Rattus norvegicus: one gene and its partner. The protein of the gene in region 1 purifies or fractionates together with the protein of each later gene. This does not show direct contact. Links are inferred from orthologs where the notes say so. Each region holds a gene or a part of one and is shown on either strand. Other genes may lie near its edges.

Region 1 (5,924 bases):
GGAAGGAAGGAAAATCATCATTAATATTGTTGTTATTCTACAACAAAAATAGCTTTTTTACCTGACCACACTTACTTGGGAAAAAATTACTCTGCAAAAATAAACAAATACACTCTACAGGCCTACACTGGCTTACAGAGGACTACACAGGCCAACACGGGACTGTGCGGCCTAAATAGGCCTGCTCTGGCCCCACCCAACGTCAGAGTCCTGCACCAAAGACTGCAATTCGGCTCCCATCTTCAGGACGCACATCTTCACCTGACAGCAGGACACAGGTTAAGGATGCACAAGATACTTTTGGTTACTAGGATTTTCTCTGATTTCCTCCTTTACTTTTCTCTTCTTCCAGTAAAAATACATAGACGTGAAATTTCCAAGTGATTATTAAGTATTTTACAATATAATATATTTTTAAATTACTTGGGAATCTCATACACTGTATTCTGATCATACTCCCTCCCCTTACCTGTCCCCCATCTTCCCAGATCCACCCAGATCTCCTTGCCCATGCTGACTCTGCGTTCCTTCCGACTTTCCTTAGCCACCATCAGGTCCACTCTGTGCCGCCCACACACTCTGGTGCCTGTCAATCCGAGCACTGAGCACCACGATTATCAAGGGCTGCACTCACCGAGCTCCTCCAGGGAAGGAACTCCGTACTTCTCATCATGGTCGTCGGACAGAGGGGTTGTGCACTTCCCTATCACGTCTGATGTGATGGTGTCTGCTGGCATCTCCAGGGGCTCCATTTTGCTGACGAGAGTCTGAAACCTTTTGTATGTTAGGGGTGGCTGCCCACCATTGAGTTCTATGATCCTGTTACAAGAGTGAATAAGACACGGTGAGTAAATGATTATGTAGTTTGGTTGATAAACTCAAAAAGGTTTACTATCAGAAAGTTTATCAATTAAGACCTTTTGAATGTTAGCTTCTGATATGACCAGAAAATGTGTTCAAAAATGGTTAATGAATCTAAAACCATTCTCCTGAATTCCTGGAGGTCAATAATAAAATATGCAAACATCAAATCATTAATGACAAATATTTAGGATTATAACTAAATAATAACAAAGTAGTTCAACTAGCCTATAGGCTACCTATATAAAAATTAATATAAATGGACAAGTGAAAAATTAATCAATTCAAGAAATCTCAAGAGGCACCAGTAAAACTAAACCGGGCTGATAATTATAACAAGAAATAATCAGTAAAAGTAAAATTTGCTAGCAGCAGCAGTGCACACCTTTAGTCCCAGCACTTGGGAGGCAGAGGCAGGTGGGTCCCTATAAATTCAAGGCCATCCTGCTCTATAGAGTGAGTTCTAGGACAGCCAGTGCTACACAGTGAAACCCTGTCTCCTCTTGCCCTTCTCTTGGGTCCCAATTTCCTCTATGAACTTGAGGACTATACTGCTATTTTCTGTGTATGTGGAGACCTCAGTACATGTGTATCTGTAGTATGTTACAGACCTCAGCACATGTATATCTGTTGTATGTTACAGACATCAACACACATATATCTGTTGTATGTTACAGACCTCAGCACATGTGTATCTGTTATCCAGCAGCAGCCCCTAGGTGAGCTTTTGTTTTCTGTGGTTTCAGTTACTTGGGTTCAATTGTGCTGCAAAAATACTATGTCTAGACTCACATAACTTATTGTAGCATACTGTTCTAATTGTTCAATATTATTGTTAACCTCCATAAGTTATAATTTACAACCAAGCTTTATCATGATGTGATCTTTAGACAGACAGCCCAGGGAACACAGGGCTCGATGTGATTAGTGGTTCTGCATATCCACTGGGGCTTTTGGAACGCCCTCGTGGATAAGGAGAGAAATGCTATGCATACAAGTACCCCAAATGCTCAGTCATTTATGTTTAAGTGCATTATGCAGTTAGTGCTGACCACTAGCTACCTCAATCACCATACTTCTAGGAAAAGAAAAGGCAGCAGCACTTACAAAGGTCTGCATTAAGTCTAGACATGGCTTCAGAGTAATTAATTATATTTTTTATTATAACTATTTGCTTATAATTATAGTTAAAATCCAGCTTTACCATCTGTCAATGTAGAAACAAAAGCCTTCCACAGGGTTAAATGAAGTAGCTAGGATCACATAACTAGTAACACTGCTAATCAAGTATTTCTTCATCCCCAGCATTAGGTATTTTCTTTACCTTGCGCATTATTGATTATGTTACAGGGAGAAACCACCAGGAAAGCTGTCCTCCCTGCTGTACCTACAGTTTTGGTTTAATATCTTGAGATTACATAATGAAGTGTGTTGAATTCAGAACTGTTACAACAACAACACTGTTAAGTGTCTCGTAATTATCCACCAGCAAACTGAAACTCATAGACAAGATTTTCACACACACACACACACACACACACACACACACACACACACACTCTACCTTTAGTATGTATTCATAACCAACCCAATAAAAACTAATTTTATGATACTGCTGAGTCTCCCACTTTGAAGCAACATCTCTTATCCTATTCTGTCTCCTCACTCATTGATGTTAAGGAAACTGGTATCAGACAGAAGTTTTATTACCAAAAGGACTAGCACATGTAAGTCAACACTGAGGGGAGATGCCTGTCTGAATCAAATAATGGTTTTATTCATTTACTTGCTAACACAAGTAAAATCAGTTTGTTATGTTATTTATAGAATTAGTTTTGTTAAGTTAGTACAATGTGTAAATAACTTAATAGATACATAAATTTTGAATTCTCATGTTTATAAAGACAATTTCATGCCAGAAGTTACTGTAAACTTACACAGCTCATGAACCTCCTAAGTTGTCAGCACGTGTTACTTTCTAACCTCAAACTGGCCCCAGACTCTGCTAGTCAAAGCATCCCAGGGACTAGCACACATCCCAGCAGCAGACACCCAGGCAGATGATGCCACACATCAGAGGCCTCTAACTGGGTAGTTTATTACTTCAGTTCTCACTTCAACCAAATGAAGGATAAGCTCGCATACATATAACAAGATCACAAACTATATCGACCTAAGACTTGGGTATGTGTCAAATAAGCTGCTAATCTAATTATGCTGACAGCAATAGTGGCCAAGGTAGCAGTAAAATAAATGTGTGAACAGCATTTCTTAATTTAAAACTGAAGTGCTAAATATTTTCATCTTATGCACTGTGTCTACAATTTTGGTATTACAACTGAGTGGATAGAAATCACAACAGCTAAGTAAAATGCTAAGGGCTTGATATAAACCCATTTAATTCTTAATTCTTACAATTTTGATTCTATTATTTCCCATTTTTATAACCTTACTCAGTTATGTATTTAATATCACTCAACAGTATACCTAAAAATGTCTAAGGTGGTAATATCATTATATATTTTCTTGCAATAAAAGAGCCTTACTTGTCTAGGTCATACAGTGTGTGTGAAATGCGCACGATGACTTCCACACCAGCCTCAGTGGCCAGCTTCTTGATGGCCGCATCTCGTTCCTTCCCAAAAGGCTCAGAATCGTACTCAATTGAAAGTTTAGTAATATTCCATTCCTAAACAAGACAAAGAGGCAACAACACATTATGATTTAATAGTTATGTTCTTATAATAGTAAGTTCAAAATCTACATCAAATGATTACATATAAATCAAATTTCAAACATGAAGAAATGATACAATTTATCAATGTGAACATATGCAGATGACATATGCATGCTAACCAGACTTCAGGCTTGTGCCTGGCATGAGAAAACCTAGCATATACTTAGACGTACTCTTTATATAAAGTACTTAGGTAGTATCCTTTTTTCATTACCTTATTTAATTCTGGATGAAAACCACCTCAGTTTGGCATTTTGCAGATAAAGTTATTTTTTTAAAAGGCACGCACACGCTCAGGTTCACAGAAACAGAACACATGGACTTATACCTGCTGACTCTAAGAACTGCTCTTTAACAAACCTTTGGTAGCTGATGTGGTGAGAACTGTTTTTCTGAGAATGAGTATTTTATTTCTGACCATTACAAAAGTTGACAGCAAAAAACTTGGAACCAAGAATAAAAACAGCAAGTACTGACTGATATTGTATCATTAACTTACATCTCTTTATAGTTACTATAAATAGAAAACTGTGACCTAAGATAAATGATTTTTTCAAGAAAGTAGTCAAGTTTCATTGAATTCTAAAATCTATTCTGATTAGCTTCAAAAAAGAAAAGAAATCCTATAATGCTACTATTACTTAACTGATATATGATACCAGATTGTAGCAGTCCAAAGGTGTTCCCAATAAAGCCTTCTACATTCATAGTGTGCATTTTGTAGTTGGTCACTTCCAACTAATTTTTTTAAGTGTGTGTGGATAACATAGAAGCCAGAAGAAGGTATCGGATCCCCAGGAGCTCGAGTTCTAGAACACTGTGGGTATTGGGATTTGAACTCGGATCCTGTAGAAAAGCAGCAAGCTCTCTTAACTGCTGGGCCATGTCTCCAGCCCAGTACATACATGTAAAGCATATTTAGGCATTTATTCTATTTCTTCCTAGAAATCCTTGAGAAACAATCAATGGATTAAAATAAACACATTTAAAGTTCTGATAGATGGGTGCATGTTCAGCTGTTTTGAGACACACACACACACACACACACACACACCCCGTCAGCACCCGTACCCTAGAGCGACAGGAAGCTGTGTGGATTAGTTATCTTATATGGATGTCTGTGCAACTACTAGAAAAAAAAACAGAGCATTTAAAAGGCTTTCCTCTCTCAAAGGTTGTAAAAGAACTGAGGAAAGAAATAATTATTTATTTTACTACCTTGTTTGTATTTGTTAGTACAGACATGCTATTTTCTTTTAAATTTAAGAATACAATGTAAATGAGAGTGGAGAACATTGTGTATACATATTTATGCATACGTATTTGTCCCATGGTAAGACATACAGACAAGTAGTAGAAACACAGGGTTTAAAGCTGAGAGTCCCTGGTGAGAAGTGTTCACCTTGCGAGACGCACTGCTAAAAGCCCCAGTCTGCATTTCGAAGCAGTGAGCAGAAAGCACAGAGCACAGTGAACGTGAGCACCATGGCTTCCATGTGTGCACTTGTGTGCACTGTAGCTGAGGTCCTCCCGGTTCTGCTGTACTCAGCTGTGTTTCTTAGAACTCCTGGGAGTTTAACAACAGCAACCCTTTGTTGTCTAAGTCATGAAAACCTTTTGCCTAATTAGTAACTTGTAATTAGTTCTATGTACTTTTTTGAGAAATAAGTTTGATAGGTTTAAGGTGTGTTTGGTGTTTGAGGTGAGTCAATAAAAAATACTTCCTGCTAGTTTTGCTTTTTGAGCTCAGGCCTGTACATCAGAGAGGTAAAGGTAAAAATACAAAAAGCATCATTATTAAAGTAAAACTGGAGGAAGTATTGCTAGGTTTAGGACAAACCAGCTTGCTGATGGTTTACTATTGAACTGACAGCAGTACTTAACATGACCTGTTCTGTCAATCATAAGCAGTCCCTCCCTTGCTGTGACCGAGGGCGGTCACTCTAATCCAGCACACGCAGGAGAATGCCGTGTAAGTGGAGGAGAAAAGGAACTGTTTGAACCGCGCTCACCAATTCTTTCTCCTAAACTCATTAATCTCTATTCCTTCCCTGGCAATGAATTAGTGAACATCTCTCTATAAGAAAAACTGAAAAGCCAGAGATAAGAACATTCCCTGAACATCACATGTATTTACACACCAAATACGTCTAGGAAGGTCCTTCTCTGCTACGTCTTTTGTAATTGGCTTAATTATTCCTTTTCCATCTTTGAGGTGAAAAGTTACTTCCTTGATTCCTTCCTTTCTATAATACTGAAAGCTATTCACTTCCCCGAGTGCTGCTGGAGGTGACTTATCCATACTTAGTATCTGATTTTTAATTTA
Region 2 (5,808 bases), on another chromosome or scaffold:
GAGTCTAGATCTCTTTTGTATTTAAAGCAGCAGAAACTGAGCATGGGGAATGGCTGAGCCATTGGCTCCCCGTGAGACAGTCAGTGATGCTTTAGGACCCAGACAGGCATGCTCATCAGGGAGAAAGTTGGCTCTCCCTTCTGGGATCTCTGGCTTTGGCAAAGACAGAACTGTGCAGAGGGTGAAGTTCAGTTTTAGATTTTAAGCCAAGGAAAACCTTTTAAGGTCTCCTGCTCTAAGAGACTGCCTGGCCAGTGTTTAGCTCCTGCTTTTTTGTCAAAAACAAGGATCTACAGATTAAACTTTGTTGCCATGTAAGTTATGGTATTTTCCTATTCCTGTGTCAGTTCACTTTACACACATGTAATATTTCTTCTAAGAGCTTGACTATTAGGGCTTCAGAGTAAACATATCACCCACGAATCTGGCTCATTAATGGGTAATTTACTGTTGCAGATAGAAGGAAACAGTTAAAAGGTGAAGTAACTCAAACACTCAGAACCTCTATTCAATAGTGGCTCCCTAGACAGACAACAGGAAAAACATTATAAGACCCTAAACACGACATCTATCGTCCCTCCCTCCAAAGCCCAGTACACACGGAAAAGACAGCAGAAGGAACCAAGGGCTAGGGGATCACAAGGGGCACCATGAGAGGCTGCCATCTAGGCAAGCAGTGGAAACTGCACTCTGCAATGTGTACCTGCGACTGTTTATCCGCCCTAGATGGTGTTATAAACATTACGTCATGGATGGGGATGGGGCTCAGGGCCACACCCTTCACAAATTACTGGTAGCTTGTATGGGGGTGGGGGGTGGGGGAAGTCACTTTCTCCAGTGGTACTGCCACTCCTAAACTGCCCGTGTTTCCGTAACCTCCCACCCTGTTCATGTGGGCAACTCTCATAATTAAAGTTAGTGGATTCCAAGGGTTAAAAAAAAGACTCGAGAGTAGAAGGGAGTTCGGCAAGAGAGGACGGCAGAGTAAGGGAGAGTGGAAAATGACCAAAATGCGTTATATACAAAGTGTTTAATAACAATACATTCTTCAGTCTGTCTCACATGTGATGTGTCTGGGAGTACTGAGCCTAGGGATATCTGTCTGTCTGTCTCTCTCTCACACACCCACACACACTCACGGAAGGGAAGCGGTCTACCACTGAACTATTACATTCCTACAATCCTTTTTAACTTTGTGAAAACAAGGTCTAGGTTGCCTTTCACTCATAGCTCATTCGGCCCCGAATGTGTCTGAATGTGCATCCTCTGGCTTAGCCTTCTGAACAGCCTGTCTGTTCCACCACACCCCGCCAACTTTTGAAAAGAAACACATTTGTATTTACCCTTGAATGTGCAGGTAGCTTCAAGGTCTTCTGACTGCCTTCAAGAGTTTCTTCCTTGTTGGAACTATTCAGGTATTTACATTTTGATTATTAATTAATTCTAAGAATAACCTTTAACTCTCTGAGACAATGCTTTTGTTATCTTAAAGAAGGGTTTAAGGCCAGTAAACAGGTGATACTTTTTACTTTTTGCTAACACTAAAAATGGCCTCAAATAGAAACAGGTTTTGGAAACAGATTGCAGTAACTTATTACTGTTTAGCAAGGCGTATTTTAAAAAGATGGCCTAGATTACCAATTACAGCAAATTGGACTGTTTCCTGAAACTTACTTAAGATACATTAATTTCTATTGTTTTAAAACTATTCTGATTTATATAGATTTCTAATATGGCTTGCTAGGCTAAAGAAAACTCTAAGAATGTTTTTGTAAAAATATCTATCCTTGTTTTAATTATGTGTGAGTGTCTAGGTCTGTCTATGTAAATGAATGCAGGTGCCCAGGGATGGCAAAGGTGTCAGTCTTCTGGAACTGGACTTACAAGTAGTCATGAATGATGTGCATGCTAACAACTGCCAAGAGAATCCACCAGCTTTAACCCCAAGAGTCATATTTCCAAGTAGAGTATAGCTTTCATTCTGAATATATAAAGAAGCTATTCCTTATTTTTAATCATAAAAGAATTTATATTTCACGGTAAGTTTCACAAGTATTAGAGCATCAGAATAGAATCAGTGTGCCAAGTTTTGTATCTTCAAAGTAGACTGTTTAAAAGACTACCATATAATAGATTCTGAAGCTATCATAATATATATTGTAGTATATGTTTGATTAGTTCTCTAAAGTTATAAAAATACAACCGCAGTAGTAACTATCTTTATTCTCAAATTGATAAAACCATTTAACATATATTTTACAGTATAAACAAATTAAATGCTATGCATTTTGCTTATAAAGTGACTTAAAGTATTCAAGCATGTAATTCAATTTGTACAAAAAGTTAAGTTTTCAAATAAAGCTTTGGTTAGTAAAACTGACTATATACCATCAAATCCATTTTTCAATGTTGTTCAGAAAAGTTAAAAAAAATAACCCAGAACCTAACCAACTAGCACAAGTATTTCCTATACAGCCAGAGCTCCCTACTATTCAGTAAGGGTAAAATGTTCTCAGAGTTGCCTTTGACGTGGAACTCTGGGCCGGTCTTTTCCTTCTCAACTGCCGTGCCTGAAAGAACGCCATCACTTCTGAAGTTTAAGCTGTGTAGAAAGCCACACTCTCTTTTGTTCTTAGTTAGGTCATCTGTCTTTAGGACTGTTAGCTTCCATAGCCTCAGGCTTTATAAAAGCCCCACTGAAACATGCTGCTGGGGTGAACCACTTCTAACTTCTCTCAGAGCAGGCGTCTGTTAGCACTAGTGCCCAGAACCCAAGCTCATACAGTACCTAAAAAAACAAAACAGAACAAAGACCCCCAAACCTTAGTATCTTTATACTATATAGAGTCTAGAATCTACCTTTATTTGTATGAAAGTAATAGGAAAAGCTACATAACTTAAATATAAAATACCAGTTTCAACCAAATTGACAATCACAAAACTGTATTTTCCTATTAAAATGTTCCAGTTCACTGAGTAGTATTTACTCGAGTTATAATGAAATATATTTTTTTTAATTTAGTGTTTCTGAGCTGTACAGATACTCTTTCATTTTTAAAGCTGTATTTATTGTAGCTATGTCACTCCAAACTTGAAAGCATGAGCCATCACTACGGTTCACTGAGACTAATATTCTTTCATCAAACTGTTCTGAAACAATTTATAAAGTTCTACTTTTAATTATTTCAGTTGGGTTTTTAAGTAAAATTTTCATTTAAATTGTTGTGTAATAGTTTAAGACTAGTTTAAATAAAGATTTAGAGAGAGTAAAGCATTCCTTTACATACAAAGCCTCAGGCACCAAGGACATTAGTGACAGAACAAAGAGTGCATGTGGTTTAGCATTTTACACAGGGACCTAAAGTTTATACAAAGCTAAGTGCTAGCTCTCTCCTACTCCACAGATTCCTCTAGATTTGATCCCGGCTCTCTCTGTGTGCCCTCCTTAATAACCACGGCAACATTTATCAGTGTTCTAAGTTCTTTGATATTTATATCTTTATTTTTAAAACAGCTTCATTATGTTTGAAAACATTCACCCAGTGTCTTCTGAGCGCTGTCATACATGTCTCTCACAGAATGCTCACTTTCCTGAGCTGTATTAAACACCTTATAACAGGTGTATTTAGAACTGAAGACCCTAAAATGTCAAGTTTACATTTTTTTTAAAAAAATGCATAGAGAACATTTCAGAAAACCTATTAGTACACTTCTGAGATATTACAACACTCAGGTTGTTTCCTTCAGACTATGAATTACTTAATTTTCATAATTGGATATTACTTTCAAATATGGAACAACATTTTTAATTTTTAAACATTTGATTGCTATTAGGCTGCAAAAAAAAAAAAAAAAAAGGAGTTATCTGACCCAAACTGTAGGTCTTCCGACAAACGCCCTTCATTACACAAGCTCACCAAAGATGCCAAATTTCTATGCCACAAAACAGAATTACAGCTCTCGAGCAGATAAACGTTTATTAGGATGCGTTTTCTTAAAAGGAAGGTGCTACTCACTCACCACGCCCCCTGTCATGCAGTCCCTTACCACGTAGGCATCATGTCTGGAAACCACACCCTGCCAAGATGCTTGGACACTTCCCAATGAATCTGTTCCAAACTATACTTCTGGTCAGGAATTAACACTTCTTCCATAATGGATAACTGAGACAGGCGGCCCCCACACATCTTTACAAACTCGACAAAGGCACTACATGAGACCTCACACTCCCCCAGCCCAATAGCTGACAGATTTTTGCAACGTTCTGCAATGCGAATCAACTCTTCATCAAGGGGCCGCAAGCCATTGGCACACACTACCAGTTCTACTAGTCTGGGGCAGGTCATGCCCACGCGGCCAAGCACATCTTTGCTGACTGATCTCCCAAAGTAAAGATGAGTGGCAGGGATTTCATAACGGAAGAACGGGTCAAACTCCTCTTCGTACAGGAAAAAATACATCACTAGGTTGACCTTCGGTGAGTGCTTGATGAAGGCGTCCCAGCTGCTCTTCTGGATCGTGTGGAAGTGTGTCTGTCCCGGGTTCTCACTGACAACATCAATGCGCAAATGTTCTAAGCGAACGTGCTTTTCAGAAGACAGTGCGAGCAACAGCTCATCACTGAGCAAATGGTAGTTCAGGGCCAGCTCCCGTAAGCCATGACACTGATCAGCCACACACAGAATCCCTGGCAGGGGGAAGAAACAACGCCCAATTACTTAGAAATTATTGTAAAATTTACCTGTTCAACTGTTTAATCAAGTGCATGTCCTAGAAAATACCCACATTTCCCTTTTCACCAATTAACGCAGTTTCAAACTTCAGTTGTGATAATGAATTACAAGTTATACCCACTCATATTATTTATCTTTTTTTTTTCTTTTCTTTTTTTCGGAGCTGGGGGCCGAACCCAGGGCCTTGCACTTGCTAGGCAAGCGTTCTACCGCTGAGCTAAATCCCCAACCCCTCATATTATTTATCTTATAAAACCAATTCTATATCCTTGTTGCTCATTTATAACTCAAGAAAATCACCACCATCGTTTCAAAAATTTGCCATAACGAAGTAAGATTTATCCTAGAAATGTAGGGCATCACTGTGTTTTTCCCTCCCCAGAACTCATTTTGTAGCCCAGGGTTGGCTTCAAACTCAGTTTTGGAGCGCCAGCTGTCATATCATTAAAAAATACTAAACTCACAGTTGGAGAAAAATTTCATGTTCAACTAGAACAGACTAGAGGAGTTTCTGAAATTCAAAATGTAATCATAATATAAAGAAAGGGGATACAATATGACCATATAAATGAAACAAAATATTTGAAAAGTAAGAAAAATTCTATCAGAGCTTACAGGGACTAAGCCACTACCTAAAGACTATACATGGACTGACCCTGGACTCTGACCTCATAGGTAGCAATGAATATCCTAGTAAGAGCACCAGTGGAAGGGGAAGCCCTGGGTCCTGCCAAGACTGAACCCCCAGTGAACTAGACTGTTGGGGGGAGGGCGGCAATGGGAGGAGGATGGGGAGGGGAACACCCATAAAGAAGGGGAGCAGGAGGGGGAGGGTTTAGGGGATTGTTGGCCTGGAAACCAGGAAAGGGAATAACAATTGAAACGTAAATAAGAAATACCCAAGTTAATAAAGATGGAGAAAAAAAATTGAACTAGTAATTTACATACTGTTCAAAAAGAAAACAAAAGAACAAATTTAGCTGAATTTCAGAATTTCTGAAGGATATTTAATGATACCTAAGCAAGTGGAAAGACATTCATGTTTTTATATTAGAACCTTGATGTTGGTAGATGT

Evidence for each region.
Region 2: the proteins of Cry1 (region 1) and Fbxl3 purify together in Homo sapiens (affinity purification with mass spectrometry; 4 studies listed by BioGRID and IntAct, counting the BioPlex papers as one, with this or other methods). This does not show direct contact. The link is inferred for Rattus norvegicus from reciprocal best matches to the Homo sapiens genes CRY1 and FBXL3.

The regions. Positions count from the first base shown.
Region 1 is NC_086025.1:20,461,162-20,467,085, reverse strand, and holds part of Cry1 (cryptochrome-1), read right to left. Parts: intron 3,551-5,924; coding exon 3,408-3,550; intron 820-3,407; coding exon 635-819; intron 1-634.
Region 2 is NC_086033.1:86,319,300-86,325,107, forward strand, and holds the end of Fbxl3 (F-box/LRR-repeat protein 3), read right to left. Parts: intron 4,688-5,808; coding exon 4,044-4,687; 3' UTR 2,205-4,043; downstream 1-2,204. UniProt on the Homo sapiens protein: Substrate-recognition component of the SCF(FBXL3) E3 ubiquitin ligase complex involved in circadian rhythm function. Plays a key role in the maintenance of both the speed and the robustness of the circadian clock oscillation.